Linked DNA regions of Xenopus tropicalis. The protein of the gene in region 1 binds, or shares a complex with, the protein of each later gene. Links are inferred from orthologs where the notes say so. Each region holds a gene or a part of one and is shown in the gene's direction. Other genes may lie near its edges.

The links.
Region 2: the proteins of nalcn (region 1) and unc79 are in contact, whole or in part, in a cryo-EM structure (PDB 7SX3), measured with the Homo sapiens proteins. The link is inferred for Xenopus tropicalis from reciprocal best matches to the Homo sapiens genes NALCN and UNC79. Residues at the interface, in NP_001337678.1 of Homo sapiens: Gln349, Met350, Phe351, His352, Glu353, Gly358, Trp359, Gln360, Leu361, Phe712, Ser713, Ile714, Arg717; in NP_001333147.1 of Homo sapiens: Cys861, Gln862, Ile865, Glu968, Pro969, Asp970, Phe1020, Gln1022, Pro2088, Asp2089, Ala2092, Pro2093, Leu2095, Leu2096, Met2099, Leu2139, Pro2141, Asn2142, Gly2143, Ile2144, Gln2147, Leu2148, Ser2151.
Region 3: the proteins of nalcn (region 1) and unc80 are in contact, whole or in part, in a cryo-EM structure (PDB 7SX3), measured with the Homo sapiens proteins. The link is inferred for Xenopus tropicalis from reciprocal best matches to the Homo sapiens genes NALCN and UNC80. Residues at the interface, in NP_001337678.1 of Homo sapiens: Asn639, Met643, Val644, Ile646, Lys648, Leu649, Pro650, Phe653, Val655, Pro656, Lys657, Ile658, Arg659, Glu660, Phe662, Met663, Lys664, Gln665, Phe666, Ile667, Arg669, Val711, Ser713, Arg715, Ala716, Arg717, Leu719, Lys722, Glu723, Ala725; in NP_115893.1 of Homo sapiens: Lys1979, Asn2004, Glu2005, Cys2006, Asp2007, Leu2128, Arg2129, Leu2130, Pro2131, Pro2134, Arg2135, Ile2138, Asp2139, Phe2142, Phe2145, Ser2146, Glu2179, Asp2184, Glu2185, Met2187, Leu2188, Asn2191, Asn2194, Ile2198, Leu2199, Glu2202, Ser2226, Leu2227, Ser2228, Gln2231.
Region 4: the proteins of nalcn (region 1) and fam155a are in contact, whole or in part, in a cryo-EM structure (PDB 7CM3), measured with the Homo sapiens proteins. The link is inferred for Xenopus tropicalis from reciprocal best matches to the Homo sapiens genes NALCN and NALF1. Residues at the interface, in NP_001337678.1 of Homo sapiens: Cys207, Val209, Asn220, Leu222, Ala223, Ile224, Pro225, Thr227, Tyr237, Pro240, Phe243, Tyr406, Glu409, Phe909, Ala1044, Lys1045, Asn1047, Pro1049, Arg1054, Ile1060, Arg1062, Ile1063, Asn1064, Val1065, Ser1066, Lys1069, Lys1080, Lys1081, Gly1083, Phe1084; in NP_001073865.1 of Homo sapiens: Lys278, Glu281, Phe282, Val285, His287, Lys288, Tyr289, Leu290, Gln291, Glu294, Tyr295, Ser296, Val297, Lys298, Ser299, Tyr308, Trp311, Leu312, Gln315, Leu335, Gln338, Thr339, Cys341, Phe343, Ile344, Leu345, Pro346, Asp347, Asn348, Asp349.

The regions. Positions count from the first base shown.
Region 1 is NC_030678.2:120,373,559-120,381,189, forward strand, and holds the end of nalcn (sodium leak channel non-selective protein), read left to right. Parts: intron 1-1,453; coding exon 1,454-1,604; intron 1,605-3,439; coding exon 3,440-3,586; intron 3,587-4,512; coding exon 4,513-4,630; intron 4,631-5,690; coding exon 5,691-5,884; 3' UTR 5,885-6,348; downstream 6,349-7,631. UniProt on the Homo sapiens protein: Voltage-gated ion channel responsible for the resting Na(+) permeability that controls neuronal excitability. NALCN channel functions as a multi-protein complex, which consists at least of NALCN, NALF1, UNC79 and UNC80.
Region 2 is NC_030684.2:87,915,575-87,924,198, forward strand, and holds part of unc79 (protein unc-79 homolog), read left to right. Parts: intron 1-1,172; coding exon 1,173-1,363; intron 1,364-2,304; coding exon 2,305-2,428; intron 2,429-2,888; coding exon 2,889-3,029; intron 3,030-5,489; coding exon 5,490-5,711; intron 5,712-6,102; coding exon 6,103-6,330; intron 6,331-7,746; coding exon 7,747-7,894; intron 7,895-8,295; coding exon 8,296-8,378; intron 8,379-8,624. UniProt on the Homo sapiens protein: Auxiliary subunit of the NALCN sodium channel complex, a voltage-gated ion channel responsible for the resting Na(+) permeability that controls neuronal excitability.
Region 3 is NC_030685.2:56,162,065-56,169,415, forward strand, and holds the end of unc80 (protein unc-80 homolog), read left to right. Parts: intron 1-3,401; coding exon 3,402-3,668; 3' UTR 3,669-6,124; downstream 6,125-7,351. UniProt on the Homo sapiens protein: Auxiliary subunit of the NALCN sodium channel complex, a voltage-gated ion channel responsible for the resting Na(+) permeability that controls neuronal excitability.
Region 4 is NC_030678.2:118,174,485-118,183,108, forward strand, and holds part of fam155a (transmembrane protein FAM155A), read left to right. Parts: intron 1-3,443; coding exon 3,444-3,615; intron 3,616-8,348; coding exon 8,349-8,624. UniProt on the Homo sapiens protein: Auxillary component of the NALCN sodium channel complex, a channel that regulates the resting membrane potential and controls neuronal excitability.

The DNA.
Region 1 (7,631 bases):
CTCTGTGTAAATTGCCCCTTGAGGTACCTTCATACAAGCACAACGGTTTAACCCGTTCACTGACATGTAGAACCGACGTTGCTGGCAAAAAAGTTATGGCAGAGTGGCAGCAGTGCGGAGTCTATGTTCCCACATTTCATTCAAATGAAATGAAAAAATGAATTGGAAATAAGATGTTAAAAAGACAAACTGCAATAGAGGTGTATTCTGGCAGGTAAAGGCTTAAAGGCAAAGAAAAGGCATAATAACTTGGGGTTATAATATCTAACTTGGGCAGGCACACATGCACATTATAGCAAAACTTCTGCTTTCCAAAGCTAAATTCAGATTCTATTCCATTTGGCCTGGGGTCTGAGGATAGTAATAATAATTATGCTTAAGAAATTGAAACCGCCACAGTGATTTTGAATTTACTTCCCCTTTAATTGTTCACCAGTATGAAAATGTAAAAGTACATTAAACTGTTCTAATAAGAATTTCTTACAGCCGACTGGATGTTTAAACACATTATATATCTTTAAGACATAAATGTAAACTTCTCTGGTTTAAAAAGAAGTTTCGAAAGGTTAGACATCAAGGCACTTCCTATTCATCTGACAACATTTCAGGCTGTCTTTGCAATTCTGTATCCACTGTTATATTATAGATACTAATGATTCTAATGTTATTATTGTAATGTTACTATTTGCTTGTTGTTATTTTCCTTATCATGAATATTAGGGTTTTTTTGTAGAATGGAAATGAGCAGATTTCCTTTAATTAAAAACACATTTTGACATTTTCTTCACTAATGAAAATGCCTATCTTCAGGGTCGGACTGGGCCGCCGGGACACCGGGAAAAATCCCGGTGGGCCCCGGCGGCTCAGTCCGACCTTTGCCGGTGCTCCCCCTACTGACTATTCCTTCCCTGACATGTTCAATTTATACGCGCTCAGGGAGGATGTCGGGTGGGGGGCCCCTGGGGGGGGGTAGGGGACACGGCTGGCCGGGGCACCTGCAGGGCCCCTGGGGTGGGAGCCCTGGTGGGCCCTGCACCCCTCAGTCTGACCATGTCTATCTTTCATTGTCAATGTCACTTATAGATCTAATTTTTAACATAACCAGCTTAGAATGTAGGGGTTACACTCCTCTCCTTATAGCAGCACTGATACTGAAAAGTAAACAGGTAAATTACCATACCTTAAATAGTTAACCCATAGGACAAGGATAGTAAAATGAATTACCAATTTGTTGACACCCCCTAATAACCATTGCTGCAAATTGTTTGCCCCAGGCCAGTTTACCCCTTATGTAATATACAAACCAGGGCACATAGGAAAGATGATGCCACTGGGCTCAGTGAATTGAGTTTTTCATTTTCATTTGTTTTTTTTACCTACTAAACTTACTAAATATACCATGTAATGCTTTGTTGCATGATGCCTCACTGCATATCACGTTTGTTTCCTGCAGCATGCTTTCCTACAGATCAGTGGATATCAGAAAGAGCCTTCAGCTGGAGGAGTTGCTAGCCAGAGAACAGCTAGAATACACAATAGAAGAAGAAGTAGCTAAACAAACAATACGAATGTGGTTGAAAAAGTGTTTGAAACGCATTCGAGCAGTAAGTTAAATGTTGTTATAAATAAGCATGTGATTTGAGTATCTCTGGAGCAGCAGTGGCCAACACTGACCTTGCTGCCTTAAAGGAAAACTATAGCCCCAAACAATGTAGGTCTCTATAAAAATATGTTGCATAAACATACCCGTATGTAAAATCCTGCTTCATCTAAATAAACCATGTTCATAAAAAATATACTTTTTTAGTACGTAGTATGTGCTATTGGGTAATCCTAAATAGAAAATTGCCATTTTAAAAATTAAGGGCCGCCTCCTGGGATCATAGGATTCACAGTGCACACAAACAAGCCAAGGCACACATACGTGCTAGGCCCCATCAGCCAATTAATGGACAGAGTCTTGCCTTTTGCTTCCCCACTTTTTCCTGTTACAGTTAGAGCAGCATTATTTCTGGCCATGTGATCTCTGGGGGAGCACACAGTCCATCACTAAATGGTGGATCAAGGAAAAAAAGTAAAAAGGCAATATTTACTGATATATATTCCTGTTTGGCAAGATTATTTAATAGGCCACTTAACATAATATAAACTATCTGTTGGTTAATTCATTCATTCCTTTAACTATGGCATTATCTCTATGGAATTTTGTTGTAATTTTTTAATTTTTGTGTGGACTTCCTTTTGCTACAGCTAACAGCTTTTAGAGAGTTATGGTAGTTGTAGTATAAGAACAGCTGAAGGTTATACACTCCTACTAGCAATAAATCTGTCCCATTTTGCCGGAAAATTTGCGAAATGCATTGTCAGTGGGAGAGAATTTTTTCTTACGTACAACAATTTTTTCTTATGCACGTGCATTTCTCATGTGCATTAATGTCAGTGGGCATTTTTTCTCACTCCCACAGTGTGATAGGCATCGCATTTTTTTACGAGAAAATTTTGAAAAATGTATTGAAGTCAATGGGCAACAAATTTTTCTTACATGTGACAATTTTTTCTTACACATGCAATTTTTACTTCTCACTGCAAATACATTAAAGTCAATGGGTGTTTTATTTCATTGCTGCAAATCTATGCCTGATGGAAAAAAGTAATGGCAATGCCTTGCAACCTTCCCTTAGTATAGACTAATGCTGCTCTGTCTTTAGATCCCCTTTTATGAAACAGTGTAATATTCATTCCAAACTAATATTGAAATCCTGCATATGTTTTTCAAATGAATAATGTATTTTTTTTATTGTATGAATGGGCCACCCACATTGGTATCTTGGGTTCATGTCCTCAATCTCAGCCTCACTGTTTTCAGATTTAACAGATCATTATTATCGTTCATTTATATAACTCCCAACACATTTACACTTTACAGAGATTATTGTTCACATCAGTCCCTATTGCAGTGGATCTTACAATCTAAGCACCTATTGCATTCAAACACAGTTTTATGATGAACCAAATAACCTGCCTGTATGTTTTTGGGGTGTGAGAGGAAATGGGAGTACTCAGGGGAAACTCACAGAGAGAACATGCAATCTCTTTGCAGACAGTGCCCAGGCTGAAACTCAGTTCAGGCTTACAGGGATGCTAGACAGAAGTGCTACCCACAGAGAAACCATAATACAATTAAGCATTCAAAGATTGGCCTGTGTTAGGAAAAAAGAGGTTTTACCAATTCTGACATGTAATGTTAAATATTTGTCTAGATAGCTTACACATAAATACTATTTCCTCAGTCACTAATGAATGAGAATATTGTAAATGGCACCTAAATTTGAATTGTATTCTGTCTATGGGTCCATTATTCACAGATGTGTTGTGATGTGTTGTTTTCTTCTATAAATGAACTGAAAAAAAGGTTGTTTCAACTATATTTATTTCATAGAAACAACAGCAATCATGCAGTATTATACACAGTTTGAGAGAGAGCCAACAGCAGGAACTGAGCAGGTTTCTGAACCCTCCTAGCATTGAGACCACACAGCCAAGTGAAGATATGAACCTAAGCAACCAAGACAATGCACAGCCAGAGGTATGTGGCATAAGAAACAACTTCCATATACACTTTGGGGAAACAATTCAGCATTAGCATTGGCAATAACTTGAAACTGATCATCTGGCATCTGATACTGTAAAGAATAGAAATATTACTCCAAAAGGAATAATGAAACATTGGAATAAAGGCCATTGGTACATGTGGTATTTTACCTGCCATATGATTCAAGGCGGCATAACTGTGTTGGTCAAAATGCCTTTAATAGCCTATCAGTTCCTCCCCAACTGAAAAGTATGGGAAGAATGGAAAATGATCTGCCTATGGTAGGCGCTAGTGGTAACATGGAGGCAATACATCCCTTTTCTTCAAATCAGCTATAAATCTTGCAAGACAACAAAAAAGACAACAGAAATATAAGAACAATCAATACACTGTATTAGTAAGTAACTATTGCCAATTATCAGTTTATTAGCGCATTTCCATATGGCCAATTAAGGTTATAAATTATTTTCAGTTTATTTTTAAGTTGACATAACATAGTTATCACCCTATGGTGGCGAAAGAAATTGGCATGGCTAGATTTACTAGGCTTTAGTAAACCTTGAGAAACATCTTACATAGCGTGGATTCAATAACACATATATGCCAAGAAATCTGCAATTACTAAACCATTTTTATGGATTTAATTCTGACTCAAACCATTGTTAGCCTCTATGAAACATTAGAAAGCAAATGCCATTATATGTGGATTGCATAAGTAAGCATTTAAGCAGTCAAATGGGGTAATGTAATAAAAAGAGCAAAGTATGCTGCTGTTCTACTAACCCACAGCAACCAATCAGCAGGTGGCATTAACAGGTCATGGGTTTGTGAAAACAATCATCTGAGAACTTAAGAAAGAAGGAAGCAGAAGTAATCAGCTTTGGCAATATAAACTATGTGTGTCTGCTTTTGTCTCGCAGACAAGTAGCCAACAACAGCTTCTTAGCCCAACGCTTTCTGACAGAGGAGGTTATCGTCAGGATTCAATTGAAGCTGGTAAACCTCAGAGAAAGTTTGGGCAGTGGCGATTACCAGCAGGTAAGTGTGCAGGTAGTGCTGCTTTTATTGTACTACTATCCATCCTGGTAGATTTTATGAAGCTAAAGTTAGCAAAAAAAATGCATGAGTAAAACTACAGCTTTATTGGATCTCTGGGTTAGGCCCTAATATGGATCTAAGCAGAAGAATATAGTCAGCGCAAGGCTCTTCCAATGAAGGCAGCTGTCCTTAACTCAGCTTCTTCAAAGAAGGGCACTACTGTGCAATAAATCTTATATGGACTATAGGGACAGAAATAAATCAAATAAGGCTAGATGCCAACAAATACTGCATGTGACTAGCTCTGTATGGTTATAATTTGGAAGAGCAGCCTTGATACCCAGATATGTGTGCTTTAATTCCTGGGGTACACATATATATATGCATAACATATATATGGCATGTCTTTTTACAAGGAACCTTTATCCAGAGGTCTCTCTTTAAATACTTATTCTACTTTATTTGGGCAGTTGATTGTAATATATGTTTTATTAGTTGTTTTATGTATACTTATTTCTGTCAGTATAAAGTTCCTATAGTCCATGTTGCTTGCCCTGAAAAAACAATGAAGTATATTTCCAGAGATACAAGTACTATATCACGTTTAGAAACTACCTGGTAGCGACTATTCACAGTTAGAATTGACCAAATAGAAAAACATATTGGCTTAAAACATTTAAATTCTTCAGCAAAACTTTTGTGCCAAGGGACAATACAGTTAGGGGGGGTTGCAAGTCACAGTGTCACACCACAGGAATTGCAAATCTAATGGATGATTTACTGGGGCCTTCAGGTGACATTCGGCTCTACACCCATTTATTTCAGACCATGTTGGTTTATGATTTATATAAAAGGGTTGTAAGGTGAAAAATTAAAAGGTTCTCCATTATAAAATAAAGCTGTTCTCAATATACATTCATTACAAACTCTCTACCATTTTTACAAAGAGAACCTGCAAACAGACTTTTAATTTTCGCCTTTACTCCTTTAAGCCTATATTTTCCATTGTAAAGATGCTCTGTGTACATACTAATACAACCCTATATTTTCTGCAATTCAGCACCAAAACCAATAAGCCATTCTGTGTCCTCTGTGAACCTACGATTTGGAGGACGGTCAACAATGAAGTCTGTAGTGTGCAAGATGAACGCCATGTCTGATGCTGCCTCCTGTGGTTCTGAAGTCAAGAAATGGTGGACAAGACAACTGACAGTAGAAAGTGATGAGAGTGGTGATGACCTTCTTGATATGTGAGGCTATTACTAAGCCTAATTCAGACAAAAGTAGTGGATGATTGCAGAGCGCTTTTCATGTTGGTATTATTTTCTATTATTTACATTTCAACTTACACACAACCAACTTTTGTATTTTTCGTATTAAATTGTTGATGTATCTAAAAAATATGAAATATTGCAAAAGCCAAATATTTTTAAAAAAATGTGTTGCAGTGTGATATCATAGAGTTATGCAGCATTATAAAAGATCTGCAACTTACACAGGGAGAATTGTAAATGTGTTTATAAATGAATGGTTTATATGCAGGAATGTCTCTCTTGGGAATACTGTGAGATAAAACATTAGGAATATAAATACCTTCTGTATTCAGCTAATATATAAATCACTGGGTAATACAATATTTCAGCCAAAACGGATTTCAGTATTGTAATCTATGTAAAATTGTATTCATATTAAAGTTATTATGCTTTTAATGACTTAAACAGAGGAGTGACCATCGTCAAAATGTATTAAAAAGTAATGTTTCTATTATGTGTTTGGGGTTATAGCCTGCTGCTGGTTCAGAGGCATCCTTACAAAGCCCCCCAAATAATGTTTGCCATTAGTTGGAATGCATTTGTATCAAAAGTATTTGGAACTACATTACTGCATTACTACACCTAAGGATGGGCATGGAGCCCTCATAATTCTATGGCAAAGACTGGTGCTATATATATATACACATATTATATATATATATATATATATATATATAACAGAGAAATAGATGCCGCACTCACAGGTCTTAGTGTAAAATAAAGGGTATTTATTGTGTCAGACTAACGTTTCGGTTGTGTCCACAGCCTTTCTCAAAGTCTTCTCACTTCTCACTTTGAGAAAGCCTGTGGACACAGCTGAAACGTTAGTCTGACACAATAAATACCCTTTATTTTTCACTAAGACCTGTGAGTGCGGCATCTATTTCTCTGTTATTCTATACAATTTTGTATACTGCACCCAGGCATCTGTGACCCTATACAAACGTGAGTGCCTGCTTCCCTCTTTTTTGATATATATATATATATATATATATATATTGCAACTGGCAATTCCAGTCACTGCAGTGAGTTCCTGTCCTAAATCAAGGGTTGTGTGTATCTTTATAAAATATATATGTAATACACATATACGCACAGCCCTTGATTTAGGACAGGAACTCACTGCAGTGACTGGACTTGCCATTTTACAATGGTATGGGTAATTATGAGGGGGAGGTTAATTAGAATATGTTCTGATTAGTTGCTGTGTGTCTCCTGTGGCCAGTATATTTTCTCAGCAGCTGCTATTTTCCAAGTATAAGAAGCCTTATAGATTCAGGATTTGAGTCACATAGACATATCAGGTTTTGGTACTGTGCAGACAGGGGAAAAGTAAAGGACATCCCCATCCGAAACATTTATATCATTAGCCTTCTCATATTTTTTTGTATCTACTTCTGTCATTCTCATCTACACAACAGAAATGTTATCATATAAAGATCCCATGCAGTAGAGATCCTGTTCACTTGTATTCATTTTTTCAGCTTAACAGTAGGAGACCACAAGCAGAACGGGACATGACAAGGAGAAGGGATATTTTTGCCATAGTGCAAGATAAGATGATTTTAGCAAGATATTTCAGCTTATCTTACACAAAGTGTACAAAGTGTCAGCAAATATTCTTTTTCAAAGCAACAGTTGGAATGGTATCTGCAGTTTCTATTTAAGCTTGAGCTATACTGCATTAC
Region 2 (8,624 bases), on another chromosome or scaffold:
CTCAATTACTACACCATTAGCTTGGGAGGTTTGTGTTTTTAGTTTAACTGTGAATGTGGAATAGATAAAGAAGTTTAACTGAATAAGAGCAAGCAAACCAGTGATCCATTGTGGATAACGGAACCGCTTTTACGCCAATTACTGTATTAAACAACATACTAGAGCTTTCCACAGCAACAAGACTGTAATAAACCATTAACAATTATATTAAATATAACATGGAGTAATTGAAAATGGTATAATTGAATCAAATAACAGGTAACTGGTGCAGATTATTGTGTTTTGGCAAATTTGAAAGAAATAAGTATTTTTGCCTTGCAAGGTAAATTTGGATGCAGGCCTCTGCTGATATTTCTATTTATATTTTGTGGTGTATTAATACTGTGTGAGTTAGTTCCATATTTAGATGACAGTAGATATTCTTGTGGGGCTGGGTGCATTAGGATGGATGCATTGGCAGCCATGTTCAGGAGCTTGTTTGGACACAAGAACCTAGTTCACCTTTGAGTTAACTTTTAGTATGTTATAGAATGTCCTATTCCTAGCAACTTTTCCACTAGTCTTCATTTATTAATTTCATGGTTTTTTAATTATTTGCCACCTTCCCACTTCCCAAGCTACAATTTTATTATTACATTTAATTATTTATCTTTCTATTCAGGCCCTCTCCTATTTATATTCCAGTATCTCAATCAAACCAATTTCTGGTGGCCAGGATATACCACATCGCTGCTGAAATTCCAATGTAAACCATTTTTACATGTAAAAATGTAAACCAACTGCAAATGGTCTTAGTATATCACAGTCTACAATTTAGTAAAAAATAATGTAAGGGTGAAATACCCCTTTCAGTGTCATAACTACCATACAACCATTATACAGGTCTTCTGCATGGTGGTTTTGCCACCCACTGCAAGCCAATAGCAAGCAGGCAGCAATGCATCCATTCTAGAGCAGCTACACTTTTGCACAGGTTGGTAAACGACCCCTTAGACCTTATTCCACGTAATAAGTATTGACCGTTATCAGTTTTAGATTTCTAAATTCTTAGAAAAAGTCTTTTTCTAAGCAAGGGAAAAAACTTCCTCTCTTTATATATGCATTTTTGCAGATACTTTATGGGTTGGGTTTGGTAATGATGTTCTAAGTCTAATTTGTTACTGTTTCCTTAGGTTGGTGGGTATTGGGACAAATCATGCAGTACAGTGACACAGCTAAAAGAAGGTCTAAATAGAATACTTTGCCTTATCCCTTATAATGTAATAAACCAGCAAGTGTGGGAATGCATTATGCCTGAATGGCTGGAAGCCATTCGAACAGAAGTTCCAGACACCCAGCTCAAAGAGTTCCGTGAGGTTCTAAGGTTAGTGCAAATCTTTACTTTACCTGCAGAAGGGTTGATAATATTACAGTCTTATTATTATCAATATTGTAAGAATGATTAAGGTGGAGTTCTAGTTTTATCTTTACAGGGTAAAAGAACTAGGGATGCATTGAATCCTGGATTCGATTCAGGATTCGGCCAAATCCAAGATCCTGGCCAAAGCAAGTCTGAACCCTATATAAAGAAAAAAATTGCAGCACTGGCCTTTTCCTTCTCCATGCTGGCAATTTCCTACTGTGTTTAGATTGAGTTCAGTATTCGGCCGAATCCCTTGAGGAGGATTTGGCTGAATATCAAATCAAAGGGTTCAATGCATCTCTAAATAGAACATATGCTTTTACTACTTCCAGTGGACCTCCACAGCTGCAACATTGATCCAAAACTTCTCTGTCAGCAAAGTGGATGATTATGCTGGAAGTTTTTTTCTGTTTCATTAAACAGCTGATAGAATAACCATATTGGACATTGCTAAATTACAAAACATACCACCAAGACTAGATGTGTTTTTAAATGACCTATAACGAGCATCCATGTTTATTTAGAAGAGAAGTGGCCTTAAGTTCATCAGACACATTCAATTTGTTGTAAAGACCTTTGTTAAACAAGAAACACTGCTGTTCAAAAGTTTGCAATCACCAAGAAAGTTTGTGTTGTTGATAGAACAGCTTAGAAATATGATGCAATTTGCACCATCAAGCACTGACCATAGGGTTAACATGACTTTTTAAAAACAGATTGCTTAGTGATTTCAAACTAATATAAATAAGGTAACACAAACAAGAATTTTGCTGTAAAAAATTCTGCCTATGCCTACTGGAGGATTTACACAGTTGTGAAATGACAATTCCATTTTGTTCAATATCTGTTTATGCCATTGTTTTGCAAGTAGAGATTATATTGTCATCTGTTTGATTTTGCAGCAAAATGTTTGATATTGAGCTTTGCCCACTGCCATTTTCCATGGAGGAGATGTTTGGATTCATTAGCTGTCGCTTTACTGGGTATCCATCCTCTGTTCAAGAGCAGGCATTGCTGTGGCTTCATGTAAGTACAAAACCCTGTACACGGAAGACCATGACTGTTGTAGAATAAATGAGCCATTATAAAGGTACACTAAGGTGTAAAGTAATTCCTAATGGACAGACAATGAAAAATCCACAAGGAATTATATAACCCCTGACAGCCTAAAGTATACAGGGAACATCTATGTGGAATAGATTGAAGGTCTGAAAATCTTTCAGATACCTGTTGTTCTTTAGTTCCTATTGATCTGGGTTTGTTAGTTGTAGCTAAGCCTTACAATTTTTGTGTACAGAATATATTAATGAGTTATATTTATGATAAATTGGTTTTGTTTTGGATACCTCAGTTTTAATTCCTATAAAAGCATTTCAATTGTTTAGAAACTAAAAAGTACAAATGCATAGACTCAAATTGGTTTATAATGTACGCTCTTATAATATAACAGATATGATGCAATAGGTTTCCTTTATACTTTTTATAGGTGCTGTCTGAGTTAGACATAGTGGTTCCTCTTCAGCTGCTCATAAGCATGTTTTCTGATGGAGTCAATTCAGTTAAAGAACTAGCCAATCAACGGAAGGTTCGCGTCAATGATCTGGCTGGAAACATTGCAGGCCACCGGGTAAGCAAAGCTTTAATTGTGTATCATCATTGCCCATCTTCTGTAATAACTGTTAGGTGGTTTATGCCATACTCTGCCTGTCCTATGCTGCCTGTGTGTGCCATACTCTGCCTGCCCTATGCTACCTGTGTGTGCCATACTCTGCTTGCCCTATGCTGCCTGTGGGACCTGGCAGGGGTTTGTTCTAGGAGTTTGTTAGCAGTTGGAAATAGTCATTAAATGGTTGCTGTGCTATCCACAGGGAAGGAGGAGGCAAATGGATTTAAGGGTGTGTCTTAATATGATATAATATTATTCTTTCACATATGAATAAAGGGTGATGTCCCTGCAGTGAGCACTAACCATTTGGGTTTTTGCTGCGCTTCCATCATAAATGTGGGTATGGTCTTGAAAGCTTTTGTGATAACATGGGTGTTGTTTGAAGTAGGTGTGGTTTAAAAAAAGGGGAGTGGTCAAAACTGGCTTCCATTAGCAGCCCTCCACCATATAGGCTAGAAAAATTCTGGCCCTCGGTACCACAGAAGTTGGACAGCACTTTTATGTAGTAAAAGGTGCAAAGTTGTCTAATCACCTCTAGCAGGTAGTATTTACTAGTCTCCTGTTGCTATGGGTTACTGCACAAACTATCTTGTGTTACATATGGGAAGTAAGAGTAGTAAAGAAATATTTATGAAATTTTTTTAAGCAAATAGTAGAAGTGCTGTTCTTTATAGAACTGCTTACTTTTTTATCTAAAGAGTTTTTGGGAACTACCAGAAGCACACACTTTTTGTAGTAGTGGGGCATTTATCACAGTTACATACCTCCCAACATTTGAAAAATGAAAAGAGGGACAAAAACAATTTTTGACCATGCCCACTTTGTGGCCACGCCCCAATTACCACACCCCATTTTTAAAATTAATTTTTAAAATAGTGCCCCCGATGGCCCAATAGACAGCACCCCCATAGACAGTGCCCCCATACACAGTGCCCCATTTGCCCCCATAGACAGTACCCCCATAGACAGTGCCCCCAATTGACCCCATAGACCATGCCCTCAATTGCCCCACAGACAGTAGCCCCCATACACAGTGCCCCCATAGAAAGTACCCTCCATACACAATGTCCCCATAGAAAGTGCCCCCATACACAGTTCCCCCATACACAGTACCCCCATACACAGTACCCCCCATACACAGTGCCCACCATACACAGTGCCCACCATACACATTACCCCCCATACACAGTATCCCTCCTTACACAGTGCCCCCCATACAGTGTCCCCCATACACAGTACCCCCCATACACAGTTCCCCCATACACAGTACCCCCCATACACAGTGCCCCCCATACACAGTAGCCCTCCTTACACAGTGCCCCCCCATACAGTGCCCCCCATACACAGTACCCCCCCATACACAGAGCCCCCATACACAGAGCCCCCCATACACAGTAGCCCTCCTTACACAGTGCCTCCCCATACACAGTGCCCCCCATACACAGTGCTCCCCATACACAGTAGCCCTCCTTACACAGTGCCCCCCCATACAGTGCCCCCCATACACAGTAGCCCCCCAATTGCCCCCATAGAGAGTACCTCCAATAGAAAATTCCCCCCATACATAGTGCCCCCCATAGACTTCTTGTGGCTCCTGCTGCCATGCATATAAGGCTTAAGAACAAACCACACAATCTGCAAGTAGAAAATGGAATTACCGTCATATTAACTACTGGCAAAAATAGTAGATACTGTTAACCATGTTAACATTTTTAAGGGCCCTCGTGCCCCAAATATTTTTTAGAGATGAAGTTTTGCACATATTCAGGTATGGGATCCCTTATACAGAAACCAGTTATTCAGAAACCTCTGAATTAAGGGAAGACCATCTCCTATAGAGTAAATTTTCAGCAAATAATTCCAGATTTTTGGTATAATAAAACAGTACCTTGTACTTGAACCTAACTAAGCTACATGAATCATATTGGGTTTATTTAACCTTTAAATGAGTTTTAGCTGTCTTAAAACATGGTAATTCAAATTACAGAATAATCCCATATCCAGATAACAGGACCTATATCTGTAAAAATGCACAATCCCCACTTTATGGCAATATGTTAGAAAGGTCTCTAGGTGGTGCTGTTTGCTTTTGTACTGTGAAAATATCAAGCCAAGCTCTTTGTTAAGCCGACTGGATCCTGTTCAGAATCATTTATTTTTTTGTTTGCTTCTGAAATCAAAACTATTGTTGTAACTATGGTTATACAAAGAGTACATATTCTTTTCTCTTTAGCACTGGACACTGTTGCTGCATGAAACACAAAGCTAAGGAATGAAACCTTCAACAATGAATTTAGAGAACAAATACTTACATTTCTACTACTGCAAATGACTTGAAATGACTTATTGCTCTAATCAGAAAATTGATCTTTTGTCCTTGTCTTCTTTAAGCAGCTGCTTTCTCCCCTGTCTTTCCTGCAGGGCAGTATTGCTTCTGACCCTGGACGCCGAGTTCAACACAGCATGCTCAGCCCCTTTCCTAGCCCATTTCACAGTCCTTTTCGTAGCCCCATGCGCAGTCCTTTTCGCAGCCCCTTTAAGAACTATGGACATCCCGGAGGAAGGACTATTGACTTTGACTGTGATGATGATGAAATGAATCTGAACTGCTTCATACTAATGTTTGACCTCATTCTGAAACAGGTAGAGCTGTGTATCTGGGCACAATTTGCACCATTTAATTTAAAAGAGCAGGATTGTTGGATAAATAACAGTCACTGGGCCCAACAACAAAATACTTTTCGTGTCCAGTTCCTAGACATAAGGAAAGATGACCAATTTCATACAGATATATTAAAACTGGATGTTACGCAGAGCAACTACAGACACTCCAGATCCCATGCCCTTGGTTTGCTGTCTGTTCTGTTCCATCTCTGGAGTATGGAAATCTTTTTGTTGAAGTTGAGGCATCTTCATCCAGGTGTTAGGGGGCATCTGCTGTAGTGTATTTGTATTACACAAGAAGTCAGAAAATATTATATTAAGGAAAATGCGACTATTTTTAACTACAGACTGGGTTATTTTTATCTTTTAGATGGAATTACAGGATGATGGGATCACTATGGGCTTGGAGAATAGCCTGTCAAAGGATATTATTTCCATTATAAACAACGTATTACAGGCCCCATGGGGTGGTTCCCATACATGTCAAAAGGATGAGAAAGCAGTTGAATGCAGTCTCTGTCAATCCAGCATCTTATGTTATCAGATGGCCTGTGAGCTGCTTGAGCGGCTAGCTCCTAAGGAAGAGATCCGGCTTGTTGTAAGTAGATGGTGGAAATAAAAAATTTTGTCATAAAAGTGTCAATGCCTGATTTGGGATTCAAACTTGTCCTGCTGCATTATGGGTCATTCTAAATGTTTGTTCCACAGAAAAGAGTTTAATAGTAAAACAGAGAGAAAGAGAACTATTAAGCAATCCTATTGGGTATAACTCATATTTAAATGATTTTTTAGTAGACTTAAGAAATGGAGATCCAAATTATGCAAAGATCCCTTATCTGGAAAACACCAGGTCTCAAGCATTCTGGGTAACAGGTCCCATACCTGTACAATGTGTGGGCGGGTACAGTGCTCCATATTTCACCCCTCCCTAAATGTACACTGGTAAAATCATTTGTAATCCCCAAAACAGAGCCGTTCACATCCAGAGAGGTACTGGGGAAGAGATAAACAGGAAACAGAATTTTTAATAAGCCTGTGAGGCATTTAAGATAGGATAGCCCTAAAAAAAAGTGTGATTAAATAGGCACTTAGGAATCCCCAGAAAAGCAAAAAGATCAATGTATTTTCTCTGCAGGAACAAACAAAGCCCTAGAAATATATCTCCTTTCATACAATATATCTCTTTCTCTTTGAAATCCATTACCTATGTGCTGTCATTGTGAAAAACGAGGTACACTGTGTGGTGGCAGGGATATTCCAGTTTACAGAATAGCTCAGCAGGATTGCTAATGTGTGAGCTGTGTCTGAGCCCTGGATATGCCCTTATACCAAAGAAGATGAATGTGATTGATTGCTCGCATTTCTAGCATGCAGACTAGACACTGGATTTTGGTGGTTCAGCAAACTTTCAGTCCTAGTGACAAATGATCCTTGTATTAGCACAGAAATGGATGGAACTGCCAATAAAGAATCTAAATAGAAGGAAGCTCTGCTCAAACTTCAGAATAAATAGATTCCTAATACTTTTTATATTTATGCATTTAGGTGAGCATTATACACACCAATGATAGGTTTTGTCATTAATGCCAAGTTAGCATAGCGTATAAAGGTACACTTGTGTCTGGGAAAGGCATGATTCAAATGTTACTGCAACTCTTAGTTGGTTGTGATAATGTGTCCACTGGATGGTGTTGTATGATTTTACCTTTACCAATCCACACTCACCAGCACACCCTGGCCTTTCCATTCTGTTCCGTCTGGTGCACAGTATTTAGAGAGACGTCGGCACTCTCCACCACGTCAGACATGATGTCTGACAAAGGGGCGTGCCCCCGAAACGTTACATGGTTTGCTACTATTAAAAATCAGCAGAGTTTATCCCGCTTAAACAAGTCATGTTGTGCCGGTATTTTTGTGCTATTATGATTTTACCTTTAACCTTTTCTCTGGGACAGATTATTTTTGGCAGTTACTGTATATTCCAATTTACTTATTCATAAAAACATATTTTCAGGAGCCCACTGACAGCCTGGAAGAGAGTTTGCTGTTCTCCAGAGCTGATTTTATTATTGCAACAGAGGGAGAAGAGGAGAACAACCCAAAAAACAAGCACAGTGATAATCCAGGGAACCACACTGAATCAACAGAGCCTGCAGCCACAAGTGAGTTTGCCAATGTCATAAGAGGCTACAGTCTAGATACTCCAGTTTCTTGCACTGTGCTCCATGAACCCCAAAAGCACATTACTGAATCTGAAGGATAATTCTATCCTTCAGATTCAGTAATATGCTTTTGGGGTTCATGGAGCACAGTCAAAGTCATTATGAACCATTTAGGGAAAGAAATTGTTCACACCGAAACCACAGCCTTATTAAAACTGGTCTTCCAGGGATATTTTGTAGAGTAAACAGACATTCCCCCTGAATCTCAATTTAACCCATCTGGGGCCCCCCAGGCACTCTCACAGTTAAGGAATCATTGCTCTGGGTGCTATAAGAGTTCTGTCAATGGATATTTACTGATATACAGAGATAATCAGCATCATTTGTATTTGATGTTTCAGCAGCGGTCAAGAATGATACAGATCGAAAGTTCTGTTATCAGCAGCTTCCTGTGACTCTGAAGCTGATATACACCATTTTGCAGGTACAGTTCTTTTAATGGAGTTTACATTGATTGCACTGAGGGTATAACCTAATAATATACGAGAGCCAGGAATAACGTAAAATCTATTCTTAAATATATAATCAATATTCTAAACTATATTCTTACTGACATCATTAATTAGTGATATAATTGGTGACACATGTATAGTACAAACAGATATAAAGTTAGCAGAAGAAACATCACGGTTCTGTATAAAAACATTTGGCATTCAGTTCTATGGAAATG
Region 3 (7,351 bases), on another chromosome or scaffold:
ACAAAAACATTGGATCTTCCTCTTTGCTTCTCCTGGTTTAAGTTCCAGCCCTGCACTTACTGCCCTGTAAGTACAGTATAGGGGTCCTTGTGTCTGACTGCACTGTACTCTGCATCAGATATTTAACATAGCTTACAGGGCTAGGCAAAAGCCTTTATTGCATGGAGCTCTTAAAGGGAACGCCCATAGTTCCATCTACTCCTAAGTAAATTGGCCTATTTATGTCATATACCAAACACACCAAAAAAGGAAAAGTGGGGCAGCTGCGTTGCTGATCCATAATGCAAACCTAATCAGAGTGAGAGAAGTTAGCAACCAACAGCATACATTTACACTCTAAACGTCTTATTGAATATGTTCCTTAGGGTGGGCACCCTGGGCGTATGACCTGCATCTCTCTCTGCATTTTGTAGACAGGTGAAGAGAAACGCAATCACTTCTATACACCCTTGTGTGTAGCTTGACTTACAGGCATGGTGTTGGCCTGAATGTAGCTACACAAAGTGGAGATCGGGCCAGAAATTGCAAAAACATGCATTTTGGGGTCCATGTCCATCCTGTGTAGCTGTACTCAGGCTGACACTGCTTCTGTCAGTGCAACTACACCCCAGAACATATACAGTAGGAGTGGATTTGCTTTTCTCCACCTGCCTACAAAATGCAGGCAGAGAGAAGCAGACCCTATACCAAGTGTGCCCTCACTCTTAGGATGTGATGTTCAGGGTCTGTTTTGAAAAAGTTGCCTTATTTATTAACAGTTGCCTTGTTTATTTTATGGCTGGAACAGTGTATTTCTTTTTCATTATGAACATGAGCTTGATGTGTTGGCTGTACGGTAACCATTTTAGGACATCCTCACTATAAATGCAAGTATGCATGCGCTATTACACAGGTTGTATCTGCCCTTCTCCCTCAGTCATTCTCTCTCTTCGCTTATTTATCAACTGTCACTTTGGCAAATTAAATGATTTAAACAATGTAAATATAAATAAACATTTATTTAAAAACAACCCCAGTGCTAAGTCCCATGTTCTTATCTGCAAATTAATGATTTTATTCAAGTTTGTTGTCTTTTAAAGGAAAAGGAAAGGCTAGTAAAGAGTTAATCTCAAGCTGCAGGCATACCTTCAGTTCTCTCAATAGTGCCCTTAAAGGAACAGTAACACCAAAAAATGAAAGTGTATAAAAGTAACTAAAATATAATGTGCTGCTGCCCTGCACTGGTAAAAGTTGTGTGTTTACTTCAGAAAGTCTACTATAATTTATATAAATAAGCTGCTATGTAGCCATGGGGGCAGCCATTCAAAGGAGAAAAGGCACAGGCACATAGCAGATAACAGATAAAACACTATTGTATTCTACAGAACTTATCTGTTATCTGCTATGTGCCTGTGCCTTTTCTCATTTTTTCCAGCTTGAATGGCTGCACCCATGGCTACACAGCAGCTTATTATATAAATTATAGTAGTGTTCCTGTAGCAAATACACCAGTTTTACCAGTGCAGGGCAACAGTGCATTATATTTGTATTACTTTAAAGCTCTTTCATTTTTTGGTGTTACTGTTCCTTTAAGTCACCTGTTCAGAAGATCAGAAGCCAAACAGGAAGAGAAAACGCTGAGCTGTGTAAAGAAAGTTCCCATAATGCCTCGCTCCTGCACAGATACCCAGACCAAGTGAACGTGCCCTTTAAAGGGATTCTGTCATGATTTTTATGGTGTACTTTTTATTTCTAAATTACACTGGTTACATAACAAATAATTCACTATAAATTTTATTCTTGAACCAACAAATTTTTTAGTTATATTGGTGTGTAGGCGCCATCTCAGTGCATTGTGCCTGATTCTGAGCTCTCTGAAGGAGCCAACGCTACACATTAGAACTGCTTTCAGGCAACCTATTGTTTTCCCTACTCCCATGTAACTGGAGGAGTCCCAAACTAGATTTAGATTTCTTAAGGTGGCCATACACGAGCAGATCCGCTCGTGTATTTTTAGGTGAAAAAAAAAATAATTATGTGGGCGGCAATGGGGCAGTTGGATCGGGGGCCGCATCAACGAGCCGATGCGGTCCCCGATCTGACCGGATTTTCTAACCTGGCCGATCGAGATCTGGCCAATTTCAGGCCAGATATCGGTCGGCCAGGCCGCTCTGCTCTCCCCATACACGGGCCGATTAGCTGCCGAATCGGTCCAAGGGACCGATATCGGCAGCTATAGTCGGCCCGTGTATGGGGACCTTTACTACTGAGTGATATTCTGATATCTACTGGGAGCTGCTATCTTGCTCCCTTCCCATTCTCTGCTGATCGATTGCTGGAGGGGGGTGATATCACTCCAACTTGCAGCTCAGCAGTAAAGTGTGACTGAAGTTTATCAGAGCACAGGTCACATGGCTGTGACACCCTGGGAAATGAAGAATATTGTTAGGCCCTTGAAAAATTTCAAAATTAAATATTAAAAAATCTGGTTTTATTTTTGAAAAACGGATTTCAATGCAGGTGTGTTTCAAACTTTTTGCTGTTTAACTTTTGCTCAGATCTTGAAACTTTGAATATATGCAATTAAATATAAAGAAGCATGAATAAAACCATTATCTTGCAGATAAGAGCATTGGACTAATTACATTTAGGGGCAGATTTATCAAAGTGTAAGTTTAGCCCTTAATATGGTACATTAAAAATCACCTACATCCTGTTCATTACTATGGGATTTTAAGAAGTGTATTCATCAAATGGTGAGTTTTAACTATCGCCCATTAATAAATACACTTCTAAAAATCACATAGAAATAAATAGAAAGCAGGTGAGTTTTTACATTCTACACTTACAGTTTGATAAATCTGCCCCTTAGTATTTGGGTTTTTAAATAAAGCATTAATTACATTTCCATTGTTAATTTGCATGCTAACAGGATATATGAGGGAGGATGATTGAAGGTTGAGGGAAGATACATTAGGGAGGATGATTGAAGGTTGAGGGAAGATACATTAGGGAGGATGACTGAAGGCGGATATCTGAGAGAGGATGCCTGAGGGGGGATGTTAACTAAGGGAGGAAGACAGAGGTGTGACTGTAGAACTGCGAAGGAGTACAGCAATCTGCTGCAACATCACAGGGGTAATTACCAGGATATTGCTTGGTGCACTGGTGTTTATAGTGAGAATGTACTAAAATATACTAAAACCGTATGGTTGCTCACATTTGTTCTGTTTCCAGAAGTTAAATATATATATATTTATTTCACCATGTTTGCACTTGTATGTGTAGTAAATGCAGCAACAAATCTATACTATTTCATGAAAGTCAAATCAGCGTTTTATAGAACTAGTAAATGAAACTTGAATTTTTTAAAATTATACTCATTTTATCTTGCTCAATTTGGTCTCCCACTATTCTTCCAGAGAGGGGGCTACTTCCTAGGGAAAGAGAACCCAGAGTCTAGCAGGGGAGCATCAGCCCAACTTCTCCACAGTTCCCCATCTTCCCATCTTTCAGACCCTGAAGACTTTAATGCGCTGGAGACCAGCAGCCTTCTCCAATATGGCGATACAGTTCTTCACATCACAGAAGATAGTGGAATGGAAAACCCTTTGGTTTCAGGACATTTTAACTTCTCACACATCGAACTGGGAGAAACAGACATTGATCTGGACGAGTCTCATGTGTAACCCTGGTGCACACTTAAACCTCTCTGTGTATGTGGCAACACCCAATTTCTAAAGGGGATTTTTACCTACAAACACTTTACTGGTCAAGCAGAAACCATGATGACACTTGTTGCTTGTTACTTTTGTTCGTGCTTGGTTTGCTCTAAATTGTTTTTCAGTGCAGTGTCACTAGTAACTGAGCAGGTGAAAGGTGAAAACCCCAAGGAAAAAAACCAAATTGTTTGAATATGCCAAATACAGTACTATAGTGCAAAGCCTTGAAGTGTCTGGCTTTAGTGACACTGTACATCTGATTGTCAGCATCCCTCTGCTAGATGTTTGGAACAATGAGTGTAGAAACAGGTTTTCATGTCTCCCATTTATGTTTGTTAGACTTCTTTCCTCTAAAATATAGATACTTGAAGGGTGGTTTCCATAAACCACATGAATGTAATGTGTTCACTCCATTGCTACATGGATGTGCAGTACAATGAACAGAAAGGTGTTCATAGTCTGTTTTTTATTTTAGACCTGAAACATTACTCAGCATCATCCTGAGCTGTTGCTTCTCCTTAATGATGTTTCTGGGTCTACTGTGAATTTAGAAACCAATGTTGCAAAATAGCAGGTATTCCGTTCATGCATCTGACATTCCTGTTTTCTGCTTAACAGTGCCTAAGGCCTTAATAGCATTGTGCGTTGCTGTGTACCTCTTGCTAATGCCTTGTGTGTAGCCATAACATTACACTGTGTGCTTTTGTCTTGTGTACTAAAATGAACTGTCATGCCTGTGCTCATTGTAGCCATAAGGTGAAATGTTATTTCATGTAAGTCATTTGCCTCTTCACTTAAGTGTTAAAATGACTGCACACAATCCCACCAAATCTCTTAGAGTTAATACTACTACTTCTTTTCTAATTATTCACACTTTCCCCATAGAAAGTGTATTGTATACACCTTGGGGAATATCTATCATAGGGTAAATATAAGAGGCCCCACAGTTCGCCAAAATGAACTTCCATAGCTATCTATTTACTTCTATAGAATTATAAGGGCCTATTTTCCAAGGGGGTGAAAGTAAGTTCAAGTTGAACAATAAGCCCCCTAAAATGCCTATATAATGGGCAATGAAATGTTCATTTTCACTCTGTGGAGCCGCTGTGAGCTACTCTCTACTCATGTGCTATTGAAATTGCAGTTGTCAGCTGTCCTCCAGCGAAGGCTCCAATCCCTATAATGCTCTGCTCTTCCTATAATGCTCTGCTGTCTTTAAAGAAGGAGAATCACAGATGTTTCATTGCTTCAATAGTCCATTGAATGTTACTTACAAATTTGCTTTTATTTCTGCACATTTTTTTATTTCAGTTTACAATCCCTTTAATGTTAATGTGCACCTAACGAATTTCAGCTTGTTGCGGAACCTCCATTGCCTATTGGTATTTGTCCTGTATTAACATTTCTATGTGGGGTAGTTCAATTTGAACAGAATAAGTTTCCTTCTGTGTACTTATCCTATGTAAAAATTGTACGTGTGCATTATTGCAGGTCCTTCACTATCATGCACATTAATGCACTTTTATACTCTTGGACAGAAGAGAGATCTTTGCACTTTCATTTTGAATTGCAAACAGAACATTATTCTTTCCTTTCCTTCTAGAGATACAGTGTTCTGGCTGTGTTGTGTACCTGGTACTTTAAACCCAGAGGCTGCCTACTTATTAATATGTGGAGCTGTTGTGTATTGTTGTTTCCATCCAGAGTGCACTGTTTGTTGTTGGTTACTGTGCAGTTAAATAGCAATTTATCAGTGATTGTACTTTAATGAATAGTGAAGACTAAATGGAATCTGGCAGTAAATTAACAGTTATGAACATTATTACAAAAAAATTCTAAAAGGTACATTTGATCAACATCTTACGCTGGACCCGGAAATTATTCAAATGGGAAGAAAACCCCAAGAAACTTACAGGAAGCATTGCTATATGATTTTATAAGACTCCAAGGACAAAGTGTGTACTTTTAAGCCTAACGGAGACAGAGGTGTATAGGTACCTCTGTAAGATGGTCATTGTCCTGAAAGCACAATCCACCCAGTGCCCACAGTGCAACAGAGAGAAAGTTATTAAAAGCTAAAGACAAACACAACAATTTCGCCAATAGCTCACTAATGTGCATTATCAGTGCAAGAATTGCCAGTACTGGTGCTGAGCCTTAGCACCTTTCATGGGTTTAGCATTACATTCAGTGGGAGGTAGCAGGACTGGTTTTGGTCTCTTCCCTGCCGGCTGAACCATGTCACTGGAGAAAACAGCCAATGTGGCTTTAGCTTAATGGGAAGAACCTCTTGGTTGCCAAATGTAAACTGCATATGTATAAGATAAATATATATCTAAAAGCTTACCTATATTTTGTCAAGAAGGAACAGAGCTTATATATGTGAAATTGATGTTTACAAAATAAACTGATATTTAAATTTACTTTTTGTTGGTGTCAATATTTTTAAAAATAAACCTCAAAGCCTCTTTTGCAAGTTTATCATCTGCTGGCAATTGTAGATCAACAAATGCAAGAGGGCCATCACTGAATTTTTTTCCCATGTATCGGGGCTCCAAGCTTTCTACAATGTTTCAAAATGCTCTGTCTGTGGCAAGACAATCAGGGTTTCAGCATTGTACTAGCAAGTACAGCATTGTACAGCAAGTACTAGTGTCACTCACAGTTGAGGAACCAGTTTGTAAAGAGCTTAAATGCTCATGTATTACAAGTTTCCATTAAAGTCAGACAGAAGTTGAACTAGCAATATGTTGATGTTGCAATAGATGTTATTAATATAGCAAAATGCAATCTCGTCAGTTTAATAACATGTCAGCGACTTTGCCGAAATGATTGCCACAAAGCAGTTCTTAATCTTCTGACAGGAAACAATGGGATTTTGTATGAGGTGGAGAAGAAATTGAATCACTATTTTTGTTAAAAATGAAAAAGTTTGAGTTTTGGAGAATTAATTTCACACTTCTCTTCTCATTCCCTTTATATTGGTGAACATTCATGTCCAACCTTACTCTGTTTGCAAATTAAATTTCTCTAGTGAATATTTGCCAGCTTGCCAACAGTACAAGAATGAAATTTTGGCAAGAAAAAATTCTCAAGGTTCAGGTTGGTGAGCTGCCATTATAAAAATAGAGCAGCCACTTTTGCATCTAGTTATCTGCACCACCTCCTCCATGTTAATATCCCACACATGTCATTTCTGTATGGTGTAAATTCGCTAGAATAGAGAATGTGGCCCACTTCAATTGTATGGGAAAATACACTGATAAATGCCAAGAGAAAATTCATCACATTTCTCTGTATGTGTATACTTTTTAGTAAACATCAGATGTGCTGTGAAAATATACCTGGCAAATTGAGGTGAACCATGGAGTTAGTGAAGGAGAAAATTCACAATTTAATAAATATACCCCATAGTTGGAAAAATCCAATAGCAAATCTAAAAAAAGGAAAATGATTGCCACCGCAATTTTCCTGTTGGTGTATGAATAATGGCTTTTTATTGTTTCTAGCAGCTGGTCATTGCCAGAATGTGAAAAAGGAGGGGGGGGGGGGTTGTGCTCAACCACTAAATTTTAAATCATTAGGTGGGGGTGCAATGAGGCTGAGACCACAAAATTCATACAGACAGCAACAAGAGATCCTCTGCACTC
Region 4 (8,624 bases), about 2.2 Mb from region 1:
AGATTTGCAAATATGACAGGCCTTCTTTCTTTAGATTAAAATGGATGCTTGTTTGTTCCTTATGAGCAGTATTCATCAATTGAGTTTCCAATTAATTAATTGACAAAAGCACTTTTGGGAAGATTCAATAAGATCTATTGCACTTCCCTGCAAGTAAAATTAATTAGTATTAGTGTTTTTGTATCCATATACATGAATTACATTGTCAGAGTTTCATCATGTTAATTAACTGATGCCTGTGTGTAATTCAAGGGCAATAATAATAGTAAATTCTATATATTCTTGTATATATTACTGATGTATACAAATATATATGAAGAAGCACACATAGGCATAATATGCAATTGCCTAGGTGCTCATACACAAAGAAATACAGGTATGGGATCTATTATCCAGAATGCTCGGGACCTGGGGTTTTCCGGATAAGGGATCTTTCCGTAATTTGGATCTCGGTAACTTTAGTCTGCTAAAAATCATTTAAATATTAAATAAACCCAAATAGGCTTGTTTTCTATCCAATAAGGATTAATTATATCTTAGTTGGGATCAAGTACAAGGTTCTGTTTTATTATTACAGGGAAAAAGGAAATCATTTATAAAATTACAATTATTTGCTTATAATGGAGTCTATGGGAGATGGCCTTTCCGTAATTCGGAACTTTCTGGATAATGGGTTTCCGGATAAGGGATCCGATACCTGTACTACCAAGGAAAAGGCTTGGCATTCCTTTCCCTTGCTTTCTATTTATATTTTTCATAATGCCCTTGAGTAGATTCTCCTGTTTCCTGCTGCAATCTGTTATTGCTGAACCCCTGGTTTAAAATTGGAATGACTTTTAATATAAATTCCAAATTGATCAGTTACTTAGGATATATTGCTTGTGGAAGATGCTTATTCTGTGCTAAGGCTAAAACAGATTATATAACAGCACTAGTGCAAATATAAAGAGGCAGTGACATGGTCAGTTTTTAGGAAAGGTCTGTTGTGGTTCTACCACCACAACCACAGTCAATCAGACTGCAACACCCTTCACTAGCAGCAGAATGAGGCTACACCAACTCTGACCTCTCCACATTTAGGGTACAGCATTTTTTATATGACATTCAATATTATGTACAGGAAAGTCAGCACTCAAAGAACTTAATAGATATAACTTCTCTTATAGACCTATATATACACACACCCCCATCCCATCAGAGTAATCAGGTAGCAGACACTATGGATGCTGAGAATATCTGAATCATATAGCTTGAGGTGAAATTATAAGGAAGAATGTGCACTCCAAGAGTTATTATAGCTTTTATTTGAGGTATTTAAATGTTTTGAAATAAAAACCAGAATTTCTAAGTCTTAGGGGCTGATTTACTAACCCACGAATCCGACCCGAATTGGAAAAGTTCCGACTTGAAAACGAACATTTTGCGACTTTTTCGTATGTTTTGCGATTTTTTCGGATTCTGTACGAATTTTTCGTTACCAATACGATTTTTGCGTAAAAACGCAAGTTTTTCGTATCCATTACGAAAGTTGCGTAAAAAGTTGCGCATTTTGCGTAGCGCTAAATCTTACGCGAAAAGTTGCGCATTTTTCGCGTAAGTTTTAACGCTACGCAAAATGCGCAACTTTTTACGCAACTTTCGTAATGGATAGGAAAACTCGCGTTTTTACGCAAAAATCGTATTGGATCCGAAAAATTCGTAAAGAATCCGAAAAAATCGCAAAACATAAGAAAAAATCGCAAAGTACCGATCATTACGAAAAAAACGCAATCGGACTCCATTCGACCCGTTCGTGGGTAAGTAAATCAGCCCCTTAGAGAGAACATTTAAATAGAAGGATAATTCTTGAAAATGGGATGTATGAGACATTAACTGAGGCATTTCCTAATGGTGTTTTTTTTTGAGCCAAAACATGATTTTGTTGGGGAAAACCCCCCACAATTTTTCTTGCAAATTATTATGCAACAAAACCGTCACATAGTTACATAATTACATTGGGTTGAAAAAATACCAGAGTGCAAAGTTCAACCCTTCCAAGTAAACCCAGCACACACAAACCTATACTGACCTATTTATACACTCACATACATAAACTATATATCAGTGTTTTTCAACCTTTTTTGGGCAAAAGCACACTTGTTTCATGAAAAAAATCACGAGGCACACCACCATTAGAAAATGTTAAAAAATTTAACTCTGTGCCCAGCAGCAGTGCCCCCCTAGTACATTGGTGCCCAGCAGCAGTGCCCCCCTAGTACATTGGTGCCAAGAGCAGTGCCCCCCTAGTACATTGGTGCCCAGCAGCAGTGCCCCCCTAGTACATTGGTGCCAAGAGCAGTGCCCCCCTAGTACATTGGTGCCCAGCAGCAGTGCCCCCCTAGTACATTGGTGCCAAGAGCAGTGCCCCCCTAGTACATTGGTGCCCTGCCTACGGCACACCAGGCAACAACAGTGGTTGAAAAACGCTGCTATATATACCAACATCAATACTAACTGTAGATTTTAGTATCACAAAAACCATGGATACTATGCTTGTTCAAGATCTCATCCAAGCCAAAAAGCAAAAATATGCCGTCTGAAACCTGTTGAGATTATGTAGAAGTTAATGGCCGGTGTCATTTTTTCCAACTGGAAAATCTTTCTTTGCTTTGTGGTTTTAGAGGTTTTCGGGTTTTTTTTGACATTTCATTTGTGTGACACTATAAAAAAGTCACAGTTTTCGTGTTGTTTCCACGTCTTTGTTTGTTCTTGCTTTTTTAATTCAGATCTTATAATAAATGACTAAACATTTGTGGTTTTTGTGACATGAGTTTAGTTGTATGTCCCATAATCTCTTTTGAAACTAATCCAGCGAATAGAGAGTAACACAACAAATATCCCTGCAGTAAGCAATTGGTGTTGAGATTTAATTTCAGTCTCTGGGATGAGGATACAAGCTCTTATTTACCAAACCAACCACAACTGGGATGTGCTAAAATAGATAAAAGATTAATTAATACTATTCATAAAACTACCTGTGCTTATGAATATATTCACATTTCAGTTGGGAATAATTGCAGAGACCACCAAAGTGCCCAACCAGCCTGTTTTGATGTGGTGGTAGGTCTTGTGTTCCAATAAGGGGTGCTACTAACTGAAATGTGCTACTATTTGGGTTAAAACTCTACATTGTGGATAAAAAAACATGGTTATCTGTATCCTAAAACTGAACTTTGCACTATCCAAAGTTTTGTATTTGTAAATGAGCCTTTATACAGTATACAGCATGGAAATAATATTCATTACTGAGTATAGGGCTTACTTATCTACAGAATTGAAACTAATCAAGAACTTGTATTGCCTTCCCTCTAATACAGACCTTTTCCAGTTACTTGTGCATGCTTTGTTTATACATTCTTTAAAGTTAAACTGATCTACCTATCATTTTCTATTTTTCATTTCAGGCTGTCTATAAGTCCTGGCTATGCTCTCAGTATTTTGAAGTCACCCAGTCAGAATGCAGTAGCAAAATCCCATGCAAGCAATACTGTTTGGAGGTACAAAAAAGATGTCCCTTTATCTTACCAGATAATGATGATGTTGTCTATGGAGGCCTATCAAGTTTCATATGTACAGGTAAGCTGCATGTATAGTTTTTAGTAAACTGATTCTTTAATAGGTCACTTAACATAATATAAACTATCTGTTGGTTAAATATTCATTCTGGGGGTATAGTTTTCTTTTAAACTGGAAAGCTGTACAACAAAACAGTTACAAACAAATTGAACAGTAACTTACAACAGCAAATAGTCGCTGCGGCCTACTAAATGGTATTTCAACTTCCCCTTTAAGATTGGATCTGCATCTCTATGGTGTAGTGACATTTATTTTCCTGCTTAATTCCCTTGAAGGTCTGAGTAAAAGGAGATTTGAACCAGAATGATCCCTGACTGCTGCAGTAACTAATCTCAAGTTTCTTCTCTGTTGCAATTAGTATTTGATGTGACAAGCCATTTGCTTTGTTTTTTACATGTGTCAGATTAATTATAGAGGTGGAATTGACAGTTTGCCTGTTTTCTCTCTTAAAAAGATCATGCTATTACATAATTACATAGTTATTTAGGTTGAGAGAAGGACAGAAGTCATTCAAGTTCAGCCATTAACAAAACCTCTTCTGTGTGTGCCGTTTCATAGAAGTGCTTAACCATAATAACAGTTCATTAATGAATGCTACGTCCATTATCACCTTCATAGGGTATAAAACTTCCTTCTGACATGCAAGAAAAATGGCAATTGAATTTTCTTTATTTGAACGTTTCTTGGATGATTACATCAAGGTTTTACCCACAGCAAAAGTGATTATACCAAAAAAGTCGGTACAGGTATGGCACCTCTTATCCAGAATGCTCAGTACCTGAGGTTTGCCTCCAGTAGGTTTTAGATATCTCAGTTGGGATCAAGTACAAGGTACAATTTTATTATTACAGAGAAAAGGGGAATAATTTTTAAAACTTTGAATTATTTGATTGAAATGAAGTCAATAGGAGATTGCCCTTCTGCAATTTGGAGCTTTCTGGATAATGGATCCCATAGCTTTACTTGCTGTACTAGCTCCCTATATAAAAGCCTCTTTGTGTAGCTTTTTGGCAACTGTAACATGCTCTAACAAGCCAGGGCAATATGGAGGTGAGTTTGGAGCAGGGGCACCCAAACTTGTCCTTTGGTTCTTCAACAGTCAATGTTTTATTAGTATTAACTCAGTAAAACAGGTGTATCAGTTAGTGCCAGAGACTGGGGTATTAAAACCATCTCAGGCCATATTAAGCTCTCAGTTGCTTTCCTTATTCCAAATCCTATACTGAAGGGGCCATTTAATAAAGGTATGATTTTTTTTTCTTTTAGCACTAAAACTCGCTGAAAAAAAGTTGAGACTTTTTCAAGATTAACAAACTGTGACAATTCCATATAAAACTTGTCGAGATCATGGATTTTTCAATGTTGTAATTTGAATTTTTACTGCAATTCAAATTTTTATTGTGCTGAAATTCACTAATTTTGAGTTTCCAGAACTTGGATGTTCAATATTTATCAAGCATAAAAAAACTTGAAAAACTCCTATGCGACACTTCATCGTCTAAAAGCTTGCGAGTTCATCTAGAAGTCAATAGGAGTCGTCCTAGCAAAATGTTACAGATTTTTTCAGCTTGAGTTCTTTGAGTTTTTCTGATTTTTTTGAGTTTGTAGACTTATTGAAAATGGTGAGCGGAATGCAAATTTTCTGCGTTAAATGTTTTTTTAATTTACGCATGAGCAGTAGTAAGTGCCCTAATGGATGGTTTGTTTGCCCCAGTAGATTTCAATAGATTTTCCCCTCTTCATTAACATCTGTGTTATTTTATTTTAAGAAGGCTACTGTACACCTTACCCTAAACTTACTATTAGCTGCAAAACTCATCTAATATTTTGCTATCTCTTATGTTGGCCTCTCAGTAACCTGTTTTTGATGGCCAAAAATGTTGGGGGGGTCAGGTTCTCCTGTGCTGCTCTTTTCTTTTTCCACTTTCTCCTCTGAAGTATCACCCAGATAGTTTCCTTCAGTCTCAAGAAATGACTAAAACCCTTCTGCATGCCAATGCCAGGACTAAAGGTGACCATGCACGTTAATATCCGCTTGCTTGGCGAGGTTGCCAAGCGAGCGGATCTTTTCCTGATATCCTCACCTATGGGTGGGAGATATCAGGTGAATTTATACAAATTCGGTCGTTTGGCCCTGGGGCCTAATGATCAAATTAAAGCGCCATTAAAAGGCAGTTGATTCAGGGACCGCATCAATGAGCCGATAACGGCAGCTACCATCGGCCCGTGTATGGCCACCTTAATGCAACCAATGGCCAGAGCTTCCTATCATTCCTTTCCTAGAATTGCAATAAGTTGTTTTTAAACTTTTAAATCCATTCACTCATCCATTCACTTCATCTTATCCTTCTCTGAAGTACCTTCCCACACCATGTTGCCATGCTGTTTTACCCTCCTCAAATGTTATGTTTCAGACTTTAATACATGTTTTTGTTGCACCAAATGCATCGGAGTTAATTGCCTTTTTTATACAGTTTTTTTCTTGTGCAAATGCATTAAAGTCAATGACCATTTTTTCTTGTGCTGAATATATTATATTATATATACTCATGCAGATTTGCAAGCAATTTTGTCACTCATGAAAAACGTGAATTTATTTGCAATTTGCATCTACTGAAAAATTAGCTTTTTCCTACTATTCATACTCCAATTTCACTACATAATTTATTTGTTGTTAATTTATTCCTACACATCTAAACATATCATTGTGTCTAGTGCTTCCATAGAGTATAGTTATCTAGCGAAAACTGGGCCTTCTGTCCCCAAATCACTCATTCATGCTAAGATTTTGTATAAGTCTTGGTTTACACAACAAAATCATAAAATGTTATAAAAATGTTATAAATGTAAACAAGTTATATTCTTAGCCCAGTTACATGTTCCTATTTCAGAATGAGTTATATCAAATTTGTTTTATAATTTGTCCCAATGTTGTCGTTTAATATTCAAACTGTCTTTAGGAATATGCTACAGCTAGATATTTTTATTTATTTTACTTTCCAAAAGACATTATCATATGAATACAGCACCACCATGTGGCAAAAACAAGTAATGAAATAGTTTTAATCCTGTCGTTGGTAGCAATAGAGAATATTGAATAGAATATTTTTCCAATCATAAACATATTACAATATTACACTGGTGGCATTTTGAAAAATAGTTTAAGTAATATCAGAAATATGAACCATCTTGTTCTAAGGAATTTACAAGTCATTATTGTATAATGTTTATTATTTTTGGAACTGTGACACATAAGAACTGTAAGTAGGTAGTGTTCAGTTCAAAAACTTTCGACCCATGTGTTACAAAGCTGCAAGGCTATTCACTATTCCACCATGCTGCTGCATAAAAAAGAAAGGAACCCCTGGGAAGCAAGCTTGAAAGGTGGAGATGGAGGGGGTATGAATTGGAGGACAAATAGGGCCTGCAGGAGGTGCTTCAGTAAGAAAGCCCTTTGAGGGAAATTTGTAGGGAGGGGTGCAGGAGGTTTTACTTCTGAGAGCCTGGGAAGGTGGGTACACCACCTTCTCAGGACCATGGTGGTGGGGCAGTGAGTAGTTTCTTTCGCTTCCATCCATAAGGGTGTTGGAGTTTAGCCATTGCAGTAGCTGGTGATTCAGAGCTGCCCTGATGGGACATCAGAAAGAATCCCCTAATATTAAGGGGTATGTAGAGTGTGAGGGATAAGCCTGGGACTATGTTCTGTCAAGGAGTACAAGTATGTAAGTGTGTCATGGGAAATAGAAAGTGTAGACCTAATCTCGGACATTGTAGTGGATGTGCTTATGGCAGTGATGTTAAGATATGGTAAGTATGTTATTACACTAAGGGTGACATTCAGCAGCTTATGGACACACAGTCATGTTATAGTTAATGTTTGAAATATATATTTCTGACGTTTGGTGGACTGTGTTTGTCTTGGGTGAGAGTTGCACAGGGTTTAGGAATTGAGTTTATGCATGGCAAGATATTTGTGTGGAATTTTTTGCAAGGCAAAAGTTGTGTCTTTTATTACATATTGGGGAAAAATAAGGGACATCATTATTAAAATTTATTTTAATAATTGTAAAACATGATGTCTCTCATCAGCTACTAAAGGGCACCAAGCTAGGCATGCAAAAATGTTCAAGCTCATGTGAGTATTATGCCATAAAGAACGTAATTGCACCTTTGTGCCAAATACTATTAAAGGACAATGAAAGGTTAATATAAATTAAAAGTAAGTCTAAAGGCATTCTTTTTAAGTACTTACTGCATATCTAAATTCCCAGATCCCTGCTTGTTTCTCTGAGATTTGGTGCTGGCAGCCTACAGCAGTGTGAAGACTACAGTGACATCACTGAAATCTCTCTGTCCTTCCTGTAGCCTGCCAGCGGCAGCCTTCCTATTCTCTGAGCATGTGTGTAACTTGATCCTGTCTCCTGTTCTGAGCTACACATGCCCACCAGCCAATCAGAAGCGGATCTGGCAGAGGGGAGGGGGGGTGGGAATGAAACACATGTGCAGTATGAAGCAAGGAGGGAAAGGAAGGGAGAATACCTTTTTAGAGATGGCTGCCTCTTCTAGAAAATGTGAAGTAAGTGTGACTGAGTAAATATTTGATTAGGTGAGCCAAAAGTGGGGTGTTTTTACTAAACAAGAGGGCAGTATGCTTTTTAAATTTTGACTTGCATTCTCCTTTAACTTAGAAGCAAATTATGTTCTATGAATTTCATGTGTGCTTTATTTTGCAGGGCTGTATGAAAATTTTCCAACCAATGCAGAACCAGAATGCTGTGATGTCAGATGGGAATTATTAGCAGACGAGCAATCCAAAGGGACTAAAAAACCATATGACTCTTCGTTTCGTCACAGGACACCCACAGCTTCATCAGCATCCAGACTGTGTAACAGCAGACTTAAACTGTGTGTTCTTGTACTGATACTCTTACATACAGTACTAACAGTTTCAGCAGCACAAAACTCAACAGCACCGGGTTTTGGAAGCATAATACTGGAAGACAATTCAA